Linked DNA regions of Diceros bicornis minor. The protein of the gene in region 2 purifies or fractionates together with the protein of the main gene of each other region. This does not show direct contact. Links are inferred from orthologs where the notes say so. Each region holds a gene or a part of one and is shown on either strand. Other genes may lie near its edges.

Evidence for each region.
Region 1: the proteins of YAF2 (region 2) and MGA purify together in Homo sapiens (affinity purification with mass spectrometry; 5 studies listed by BioGRID and IntAct, counting the BioPlex papers as one, with this or other methods). This does not show direct contact. The link is inferred for Diceros bicornis minor from reciprocal best matches to the Homo sapiens genes YAF2 and MGA.
Region 3: the proteins of YAF2 (region 2) and BCORL1 purify together in Homo sapiens (affinity purification with mass spectrometry; 5 studies listed by BioGRID and IntAct, counting the BioPlex papers as one, with this or other methods). This does not show direct contact. The link is inferred for Diceros bicornis minor from reciprocal best matches to the Homo sapiens genes YAF2 and BCORL1.

Annotation. Positions count from the first base shown.
Region 1 is NC_080744.1:39,273,912-39,277,657, reverse strand, and holds the start of MGA (MAX gene-associated protein), read right to left. Parts: upstream 2,791-3,746; 5' UTR 2,743-2,790; intron 1-2,742. UniProt on the Homo sapiens protein: Functions as a dual-specificity transcription factor, regulating the expression of both MAX-network and T-box family target genes. Functions as a repressor or an activator.
Region 2 is NC_080756.1:26,722,388-26,726,133, reverse strand, and holds the start of YAF2 (YY1-associated factor 2), read right to left. Parts: upstream 2,537-3,746; 5' UTR 2,411-2,536; coding exon 2,385-2,410; intron 1,970-2,384; coding exon 1,844-1,969; intron 224-1,843; exon of another isoform or gene 1-223. UniProt on the Homo sapiens protein: Binds to MYC and inhibits MYC-mediated transactivation. Also binds to MYCN and enhances MYCN-dependent transcriptional activation. Increases calpain 2-mediated proteolysis of YY1 in vitro.
Region 3 is NC_080781.1:118,704,475-118,708,220, reverse strand, and holds the start of BCORL1 (BCL-6 corepressor-like protein 1), read right to left. Parts: upstream 2,611-3,746; 5' UTR 2,298-2,610; intron 1,953-2,297; 5' UTR 1,894-1,952; exon of another isoform or gene 1,873-1,893; intron 1,002-1,872; exon of another isoform or gene 736-1,001; intron 1-735. UniProt on the Homo sapiens protein: Transcriptional corepressor. May specifically inhibit gene expression when recruited to promoter regions by sequence-specific DNA-binding proteins such as BCL6.

The DNA.
Region 1 (3,746 bases), on a different chromosome or scaffold from region 2:
CTAGCTACATGGTATTACCCTCCATATACCCTGCTATCTGGAGGCACAATATTTATTTAACCAATTCCCTATTATTTAACGTTTTAAGTTTTACCAGTTCTCTGCTATTATAAAAAATACTTCAAAGACAACTCTTAAATGAACATCCTTGTAAACTTACCAATTAGTGCCTTAACAAAGAAGAAGAGCTACTGAGTCAAAGGACATACAGGTTTTTAATGCTTTCAATAAGTATGGCCAAAATTCCCTCCAGAAAGGATGATCAAATGTAAATATCCACCAACAGCAGTGTATGAGTGTGCCAATTTCCCCACTCCTGTGCCAATACCAGGTACTAACATTTTGCTACATATATGCCAATCTGTCAGACTGGGGGAAAAAAGGTTGTTTTGTGTTATTTGTTTATAAGTGAAAAATAGTATTTTTATCTTTATTGGTTATTTTTATTTCTGTGTGTGTGTGATCTACCTATTCATGTCTTTTACCTATCTATTAGATATTAAGGTTATTAACCCTCTAGGTTCAACAGATGGTGCAAATGTTTTTCTCCATAATCTGCCTGGCTTTGCTCATCACTGGATCCCTTACACCTGAAAAACTGCCTGGCACATAATAAGCACTCAATAAATATGTTAAATGAATATTGAATGAATAAATTTATCTTTTTAACTTTATGGTGTTTTTGCCAACTACAAGTTATTTTATGCAACAATTCTATCAATGTTTGCCCTTATGGATTCTGCCTTTGCAGTCATGCTTAGAACAGTTCATCCTATTTAAGACTGAAAACCTGTTTACTCATTTCTTTCAAGTGGTAATTTTCTGACTTCACATTTTATACTTGAATATTTAATTCACCTGGATTTTATTTTATTTACATTTTAAGGATTCCATTTTTTTAAATGGTTAGCCAATTATTCTAACACAATGCCAAAATTCTTTCTGAACTAATATAAAATGCCACCCTTATAATACTAAATAGCCTTATATATTTCTAGATTATTGTTCCACTGCTCCGTCTACTCCCGAGTGACTACTTATTGTTTTGACTATCATGGCTTTATTCATATATTCACTATACAAGGACTCGCCCTCACTTTTCTCTTTCAAAATTTTTCCTACTTTACAGGTTCATTCTTCCAAATGAACTTTAGAATCATTTTGTCAAATTTTCAAAAGGAATTCTGGTAGGAATTCTGTAAAACTCCATAAAATTATCAGCCATATGACCTTGTGCAAATCACTTAGTCTCTCTGTTGCTATTTCCCTCACTGGAAAAATAGAGATAATAGTACTTACCTCATAGGTTTGTTATGATAACTAAACGAATTAAGACACAAAGTACCACACTAGAAAGATGTTAACTATTATTATAATTGTTCAAAAGTGATAACTATTAACAGTCATTGCTCAACAAATATTTTCCAGATTGTGCTCCCACACAATTCAAAGGCTCTTTAAGATACATCAAAGGGTAGCATAAAACATAAGCAGTGATATGAAAAATATATAATTTATGCCTGCTTCATTTCGCCAAGGCCTTGATCCTTGGTAAAATGAAGAGCTGGAACTGGAAGCAGAGAACCATGAAAAATACCAATGGCTGGTGGCAGAAAGCGTCAAAAATTTTAAAGATTGGCCCACCAAACAGAGACTTCTAGGTCCTTCTAGTCAGCCTTATACGGCATCAGCAAGTCCCTTCTAACTACTTCTGTTTCCTCATCTCCATAGTTAACGACAACACTACTTATCCTTTGATTTCTTTCCAGGAAACACATAGGGACTAGACGTCTAAAATACAGCATACTTTTCAAATGAGACTGTGGCCAGATATAAATGCCACTTGATAAATATGGACAGACGTGCCCAATACAAATTACCTCCACCAGGTTTCTTACATAACTGTAATGACGAGTTGGATTGTTGTGGGTTTTTTCCTGTGGGGAGACGGGCTTGTCTCATAATTGTTAATAATTTGTTCATTGTTAATTCTTTTGTTATCTACATGACATTGGGATTGGGTAGAGGTCATACGCCATATGAAGGCCCTTAAAAAAAAATAATCTCCTATATAGAGCTGTAATATAAACGAAAAAATAGAGACCAACAGGGCAACACGACTTGCTAATTGCAAAACCACCAAAAGCCTAGGTCTTCTGATTCTCACACCAGGGCTCATTCCACCACACCACACAGCCTCTCGCCGACGCCTGCCACGCTTCGAGATGGGAGGAGTAAAAGCAGACAATCCGGCCGCCGCAAGGCCCTTGAAAGCCACAGGACGGCGCAGTCGAAGCCACGTGACTGGCCTCTCCCCTCCCCCTCCCCCGCGCCAGCAGCACGCGCTGCCAACCTCGTCATGTGACCTTCACGCGGCCCCAGCGCTCCCCCTACTAGGCGACTGTTTCCAGCAGCCATTTTGCCGAGAACTTGTCGTCCGTGCTCACCGCAGAGCAAGACGCCACGAAAACCCGTGGCCAGATTCTACAGGCCGCACACGCGCCTCGAAAGAGCGCTCAGACCGTCAGGGCTGAGCCGAACCTCACTGAACACGTCGCACCCCGGGGCGCTGGGGAAAGCTGTGGGTGCGCCTCGGCCTACAATTGGCTGGGGCGTCCACGTGACGCATCGCCCCCCACCCTCTCCTTCCCCCCTACCCACAAAAACACCCAGACAGGCTCTTAACACCTCCCGCCAAATACACGCCAGTGGGCGCGTGGGGACCAAAGCGCCTGCGCATACCTGCCAGGGCCGACCGGAGCGGGCCCACGCGCCGCTCTGCTCACGGGTCCGGGAATCCTCGCGCTGCTGGACCACCCGGCTAGTCATTGGTTGCCAGGTTAGGTCACGTGTTCACCTCAGGCCCTCCCCTAACCGCTAATCACCTGGCACCGTGCTCGAAGCGGCGGCGAAAGTCATTCGCACGCGGAAAGAGAGGGTAGTTAGAGGACCTTCTTTTCTGCCGTTATGAGGTTACATTAATAAAGAGGAAACAAGAAAGCAGGGTCTCGAAACTAAGTAAGCTCACACCTACCGGTCTAACTTCGCGTGCCCCTCCAGGAGCCGGGAACCATCGCCCTTGGGCGCTCCCCGATGCACGCCGGGATACGTCTGGCGCCCCTCAGTGTGCTGCAGAGCATGCCGGGAAAAGCACCTCTCCCGATCTCCTGGCTCTCACCTCCCGGGTGTTCTTTTCTTGTCCCCGTGAAAGCCCGGTCCTTGGGCTGGGAATGAGGCGATTTGGGTAATTATGGGAGTGTGACTGGATGTAACAGGCACTTTCAGTCCCCCTTCCCCTACTTGTTCGATCTGTGTGGTCTTAGGGAAGCCGCTTACCTTTCTTCGTGGAGCGTGCATTTAGTCAGTGCCTGCTGAGTGCCCTTGTAAATATTGCAAAAAACAGCAAAGGTATTTGCCTACAAGTAAACTATCAGCCTTTCGTGGTAAGTGGAAAAGAATGCTAATTTAAATACGACTTACTACAAACCCCACTAGGGAGTGGAAATAATACTTAGAATTTCTCTTGGGATAGAAGACCAGACCTTTCCTGGGAAACTTACTGCTATTGTAGGAAAAATGGGTGTGGGAAGAGCAGGAGGCATTTTAAAGGGGCCAGAGAGGTGGCCCTATTACATTTTCTGGTTCAGCCTAATCTAGCTATGGTATTTTGGAACCAAGAAAAGCACCGCCTGCTAACGGTGAGAAAACGTGGTCGTATATCAGGAGGAATTAATTTTGTAATGTAT
Region 2 (3,746 bases):
TCAGGGGCCCCCATGTGGGCCTCAAGCCTCTTTTAAACTAGGCCCACTTCTCTGTCCTGGGCCAACTCCCCTGTGCACTATATTCCTTCTTCTTCCAGATGCCAGGTATTCGGCCTGTTTCTTCTCTTCTGAGCTGCCACCACCTACTCTATTTCTCAGGGTTCCTCTAACCCCAAGACTGGCTGTGGAGTAGGACACCAGCTTCCCCCCTTCCTTGCTGTCCCTGCAAATAAACATATAGGCTCTTCTAGTTTCAGTATTTTTCTAATGGCTACAAGACAATAGAGAGGGAACAACAAAAAGCAACAATATCGTACCAGAAATTAAGATTATAATAATTGTCTCCACTTTAAAGTTCCTGCCTCCAAAAACCAAATTTTCTGAAAATGCTTATTGAGCAGTTTAAAAAGTACAAAGTACTAACATAGATATACAAATATAATCTAAACCCAATGCAACCTTAAGATACTCTGCTTTTCAACATACTTTACTCACGGGTCCAAAAATAGTTACCACATTAGTTTCAGCAAATAGGTACTTTTTTCTCTTTAAAATATTCAGTTAAATTCCCTTGAATTTAGTAGATGTATGAAAGTTTGCTTTTTAAAGGATATCATGAAAAACGTTCAATATATTTTATCTAATGTAAATGAGAATTAATATACAAAAAGCGTATTACGATTTACAAAAAACCAGGTATGTCAAAAGCAGCTGGCTTCACTAAGCAAATCTTAAAATTTTAAGGTACTGCGAACCAATTCTGTCTTTAAATTTTAAAAATTAAATAAAATGCTGTAAATGCTGTTTACAAATCTGGATATCTCATTTTTAGAAATCTAACTTCTAATGAATATATAAATCTAATGTCAATGTCATGTAGGCCTTTTATAAACAACAGTAATTCACATTAGTATACTTATACTCTGGTGATAATTTAGTTTCTAACAGACTTGGTAATTTCAAAACACGTTATCTAAATATTAGGCTATAAATCACAAGATTATAATTAATTAATTCAAAAGCTACATTCCTATAAAGGTGAAGGAACTCTGTAACTAAGTGCTGGCAGATCAAAAATGTCAATGACTGAATTTCCTGGATGATTTTCTTTATCCACTTAATTCACTTCAGTGGTTTTTTAAAACACTGAGTTATCACACTGTAAGATTACAATAAAATAAAGGCTAAAAATAGACAAAGATCATTTTATTTCATTTGTATAGTCTAATAGATTGCCATTTAATCAAACTAAAGATATTCAGATACTTTCCGTAAAAATGTGTCTCTGTGACTAAGCTCACCTCCAACTATTTATTTATAAAACATTAGAGAACTAGAATAAACACACTAAACAAAACCTTGATCTGACCCCTCCAGACATTTACATAAAAAAGGAAGTTTAATTTATTGTGTATTCTATAAGCAGATACTACGTTTTTGAGGAATGAAAGTGAATTACATCTTTTGCTCTTAAAGACAGTTTCATGATTTTTCTTTGATTCCTACACACTAACACAACAATGCAGCCAAGGTTATTATATCCGGAATGGGGGGGGGGGCATTACACCCAGCGATAGGAATTAAATCGCAGTAGCTAATGCCTCCCTTAAATAATTTATTCTCTCTTGGCTGCAAAAAACGTGACAGCCTCTTCAATTACCCCTCACCGCAAACCATCGCTTGCGTCGCGATCAATCTGACCCAGTTCCTATCGGGGCCACCACCTCAGTGTCGCGTCCTCGCGCCGGGTCTGCGAGTGTCACGGGAGGGGGCGGCGGCCGCGGGGGCGTCCTCTGCGCCGCGACCGGAGGCCGGCGGCGCGCGGGGCAGGCCCGGGACTCACCGGGTGGAGGTGCCCTTCCGCACATCGCACATCATGCACTTGAAGGCCTCGGCGCTGTTCCGGAAGGTGCAGACGCTACAGTCCCAGTACCCCTCATCCGAGGACGGCTTCGGCTGCCGCTTCGGCCTGCAGGACACAACCCGGACACGACGCGGCGCGGGGTCACCAGCAGGCCGCGCCCGGGCCCCGCGGCCGCCCCCACCCCGCCCCCCGCCCCCATTCCGCGCCCCCCGCCCCGCGGGCCCCCGGCGCGCCGCGCCCCGGCTCGGAGGGGCAGGGGGTCTGGAAGGCGGAGGGCGCGAGCGCGGCCGCAGTCGCCGCCGCCGCTCCGACACCCCGGGCTGCCGCTCCGGCCGCCGCCATCGCGGCTCCATTGTGGGGCGGCCGGCGCCGGCCCCTCACGCGGCAGCGCTCACGCGGCAGCGGCGCCGCCCCCGTTCTCGCCCCGCTGCCCTGGCGGCGAGCTGGGCGGCCGCCCGAAGCCGGGGTCGGGGGCCCCGCCGCCTGCACGCTGCGGGCCCGGGGGCCCGGGCGCCGTTACCTGGTGGGGCTCTTCTTGTCTCCCATGGCTTGGCTACCAGCGCACGCCCAGAGTCGCCGCCGCGGCCGCTCTGTTTGTCAATAAGGAGGATGAAAAGCCGGGCGGAAGCGGGCGGGGAGGCGGGAGGGGGCGGGGAAGGCCGCACCGCCGAGCTCGGGAGCCGCCGCCGGAGCCCACGCAGCCTCCAGCTGTCGGGGAAACTCCTGCCTGCGCGCACGTGACCCGCGCCCGCCAACCGGCGGCCGCGCCGGAGACTTCAAACGCGGCCAGCGCGGCCCAGCGCCCGCGGCAAGTTCGCGGGCGGGGAGGGCGGGGGTGGCCGCTGCAGCCGCGGGCGCCGGCGCCGCCTCGCTGCCCGGCTCCTCCCGGCTGGCCCCGGGGCTGCCACGCGCTCCGGAGCCCCTGTTGCGGGGAAGCGTCCGTCCTGCCGCCGGCGGGGGATGCTCCGTCATCCCGCACGAAGCCTGGTCCAAGGTGGGCCGGGCGTTCGGAGGTCAGCCCAGCTCGTGACGAGTGGGCGGCCGCGCTCCCCAGGTAGAACCGCTCTCCCGGCCTCGCCTGTCCTTGGATGCTCGGCTCTGGCCCCGAAGGGTACCTGGGGGAAGGTGGGAGTCACCAGGGAGCGTCATTGCTAGGTGTTTTAAGACACTGTCTGGTTTTATGCACACACATGCTCTACCAGGTACAGACTGTCGCCGTTAATTTTGAGAAAACGAAACCGAGGCTCAAGAAAGGTTAGGTGACTTCCTCTATATTACATAATTAGGAAATGACAAAGCCAGGAATCTAACACTGCTTGAATTTCAAATGCGCTCCTTTGGCCTCCCAGACCTCTAGAGTAGCTACTTAAAAAAAAAAAAAGTTCACCTCATACCTGTTAGAATGGCTATTGTCAAAAAGATAAGAACCAACAGCATGTGGAGGAAATGAGCTCTTGTACACTGGCCCTTGTACACTGTTGATGGAAATGTAAATTGCTGCAGCCGTTATGGAAAATGAAGGTTCCTCAAAATAGCATAAAAATATTGAAAATAAATAAAATTATTCAGCAATTCCACTTTTGGGTATTTATCCAAAGAAAACAAAAACACTAACTTGAAAAGGTATTTGCACCCCCACTTCATTGTAGCATTATTTTGTAATAGCCAAGATATGGAAACAACCTAAGTGTCCATTGATGGATGAATGGATAAAGAAAATTTGGGGTGTGTGTGTGTGTGTATGCAATGGAATGTTATTCAGCCATAAAAAAGAAAGGAATCTTGCCATTTGTGACAACATGGATGGACCTTGAGGATGTTATGCTAAGTGAAATAAGTCAGAGAAAGATAAATACCATATGATATCAGTTATATGTGGAAT
Region 3 (3,746 bases), on a different chromosome or scaffold from region 2:
CTGCCCCCAACACAGCACTCCCACTCCCGAACCCAGGCCCCGCCGCCACCTAGGGGTACCCCTTACCCTACGGTTCCTGCACCCCGACACCGGGGAGAAAGCAGCCCTGAAGAGCACCCGTCGCACCTCCCCTCTGAGGTTGGAGGGTATTTTCTCCCAGTCTCTTCAAGACTTCATCACGGACAGCCCCCCCCCCAAAAAAAAACAAGCCCTTTCTCGCCCTGCCCTGCTGGCCAGCCTCCCTTCGGATCGTCGGATCCTTGGATCAGGGGGTTGGGGTCAGGTAGTTAACAAGACCGTAGCCTCCACCTCCCTTTCTGAGAAGTGGGGTAATTCCAATGGTCCCCCTCGCCCAGGATCAACCCGACCCCCGTTTCCATGGAGACCCCCGCCCAGCCAGGAAGAAGAGTCTCGGATCGTGGCGAACAAGTCTCACCTGGCTAAGGGAGAAGGGGGTGAAGAGGGGGTAGGGCAGGGCAAGGATGGGGTACGAAGGTGGGAAGTGGAGGGGAGCTGTCCCGAAGGGAGGGGCGAGGACAGAGCGAGCTCCAGGGAGCGCTACGTCCGGGGACACGAAGAGGACGGCGCCCCCGGGGGGCAAGCAGCACGGCTGCGGGGCGAAGAAGGGACAGCGTTGGGGAAAGGTTTAAGATAGAAAGAAGCGGGTGGGGGATACGAGAAAGCCGGGGAGTCAAAAGGGGTGGAGGGGTTGGGGGAGAGAAAAAAAAGACGCACCTGTTCCCGGGTCGGCTCCGCGGGGAGGTTCAGGCCGCCACCCGGGCTCCCTCTTACCCCGTCTGAGCCGCCACCCGCCTAATACTGCTCCGATCTGATGCCCCCCTCCGCCCCTTATCGCCACCGACCTCCTTCTCCTCTCTCGGCGGCGGCGGCGGTCGGACTCTAGGAACTGAGAGGAAGAAGGGAGGGCTCGGCAAAGCGGAGGAGAGACAGAGCCACACACTGGCAGCAGCCGCGGCGAGCGAAAGAGTGAGGGGGAGAGCGGTGTGTGTGTGTGTCTGTGTGTGCGAGCGAAGCCTGGTGGAGTGGGTGCCGGTCGCAGGGCTCGACGGGAAGTGGAGTCCGGCCAGGTCCGCGGGCGGCGCCAGCCCCCGCTCCGTGGGACTACAACTCCCAGAATGCCGCCTGCCCGGTGGGGGGGAGGAATGGGGAGGAGGAGGCGAAGGGAGGGAGGGAGCGAGAGGGAGGGACGAAAGCAGGGAGCAAGCGGCGGCGAAGGGGGCAGAGCCAAGCAGCCCCGGTGACACTGGGAGGGGAGGGGAGGAGGGGATCGCTGCGAGGACCGAGCGGATTCCGGAGAGGGAGGCAGCGTTGGCTGCAGCAAGCCAGGCAAAAAGCTAGACTCCCAGGAGAGGCGGAGGCGCTCAATCCGAGGGACTGCAAGAGCCCCACGCCCCCCCCCCGGATCGACGCCCCTCGAAGGGGGAGGTTGAGGAAGGGAAAAAGATTAGTGCGCCACGGCCAGGGGTTTCTCTCTCTTTCTTCCAACGCTCTCCACCTTATGCCCCAACCTGACTTTCTCAGGCCACTGGTGCCCGATCTAGTGTGCAAACCCGGAGACCCCAGATCTTCCCTGCTGGGCAGCACAGAGCAGACGCATTCAGTCCCCCTCTCCCAGGGGCCTGAGGGAGGCTCCTCTTGCTAGCAGGGCGTGACTCCCCCCTTCTTCCCGCCCCCCCCCACCCGTCGTCGCCACCCCCCCATCTCCCTCCCCGGAACCCCTCCCCTGAAGCCGGGGCTCGTGTCTCCCTCCCCGCCAAGAAACGGAGTCCCTCCGGGGTCGACTACCCAGCCCCCTCCCTTATACAAGGCCCCTTCCCACCAGTATCCCCTTCTTAGCTTTGCCCCCCTCACCGAAGAAATAATGGGGGCGACCTGAGTTGGACTGGTGGCTACTTTCCCTCCGAGACTAGCCGTCCTTGGCCACGCCGACCCTGTGTAGAGATAGAGAAGCACATTAATACTCCCGTTCTCCCCCTCCAAGTTCGGATCCCCGTGGAAATGGCTCACAAGGAAAGAGGGGTTGGTAGTGGAAGTGAGCTGGGGGTGAATCCCAATCCTCAAACCTCATCCCAGGTGTGGAAATCCAGGGATTCGTCCCTTTCCTTAAAAGCCATCAAATCGCTTGGGGGGGGCGTTAGTGGGGGGTAGATTATCTAAACCCCAATGTCCACGCGACTCGAAGCGACGCTCCATGTAGGAATAAGATACGAACTAGGCTGCCGCCGCGGGAGAGAAAGTATACCCCCCCCCGCCGTCGTCCACCCCCAAACACATACCCCTAGGAGAGTCAGATGGTCGAGGAAGCGGGGTAGGCGGTGGGAGAGCTGCAGAGTGAAAGGGTTTGGCGGGGAGGGTCCGAGGCCCCCTGAGAGCAGAATCCAGATGCTAAGAGGTGGGTGGGGGGTGCGGCATAATTGCAGACGGTGTCTTTCCTCGCTTTTCCCGGAATCGCCGCCGAACACCGTCTAACACTCGTAGTTGCTTACCAGTCTGTCCCCTAGCCCCATTTGTGCGCGTGAGGCGGCCGGAGCCCGGGAAGCCTGGGCACAAACTCCGCGGAAGCTGGCCTTCGCCTCCGCCGCGCTGCCGCGGGCCTCCCTCCCTCCGCTGGCGGCCCCGCCGATCTACCTTCGCCCCCGGCCGAGGCCAGACCCCGCTCGCAACTCCACGCCCCTACTCCACCCCCGGCTCCCCCTCCCCTCGCCCTCTCCCCGCTGGTCCGGCCCAGCCCCTAGCGCCGCCCCGCCCTACCGCTCGGTCCCGAGCCCAGCAAGTGCCCCGAACTCGCCCCCCGCCCCCACGCCCAGGCCAGTCCGGCAGGGCCTGGTTTCCCCCTCCCGCCGCGCCCCGCCCCCGAATCCACGTCCTACTTCGCCACCCAACTCGGCCCGGTCCGGGTTCGGCCCGCGCCCAGGCCACCGGAGTCCCCGGTTCGGTCCGGTGTGCGGCCACCCACTCCGCCCTTGCCTGGGTGCTGGCCTGGCCCGCTGCCTGCGCCCGCCGAGCCGGCCCAGGCGCGCGGTACGGGTCCGGATCCCGGTGCCGGCCTCGGTCCCGGCGGCTTTGCCGCGTCTCGCCACGAGGGCTTGGTCCACGCAAGATTCGAACCCGCGCGGGGTGGGGGCCGCAGAAAGCAAGTTTCTTTATCTTTCCTCCGCCCCCACCGCAGGGCCGCGCTGTCCCCACCCACCCACCCACGGCGCCCCCTTCACCTGGGCAGAGCCCCCCGGCCACTGTCGCAACTTTGCTCTTCTCCACGCCGCCGGGGAAGCGGGCGCAGCGGGAGGAGGAGGGAGGTGGCGGGGGGTGCTGGGATCAGGCCGCTGGGCTCCGGGAGGACACGTGGGGGAGGAGGGGAAGGAGGAGGAGGAAGGGGGGGCGGGCCTGCAGTTCTCGGGGCTCCCCCTGCCAGCCCCGGGGAAGCCGGAACCTCGCCGGGCAGCCGCAGACCCCGCACTGGCCACGGGGGAAGAACGGAGCCACCTTCCCCCGCCAGCCCCCGGCTCCAGGAAGGGGGGGCGAGCAACGCTGCTCGGGGTCGGAGAGCGAGCGTTTTTGCTCGTGCTTTATGTGTGACTCTCTCTCCGTTTAGCCTCAGTGTATGGGGGGGCGTAGGGTCTCGCAAGCCAGGGGGGGCGCCCCCAGCGGACGCCCCGCCCCTCCCCCGACCCCCCACTTCCCTAACCCGGGCGACCTCGGTGCATTGCTCTGGCGCTCGGGCACCG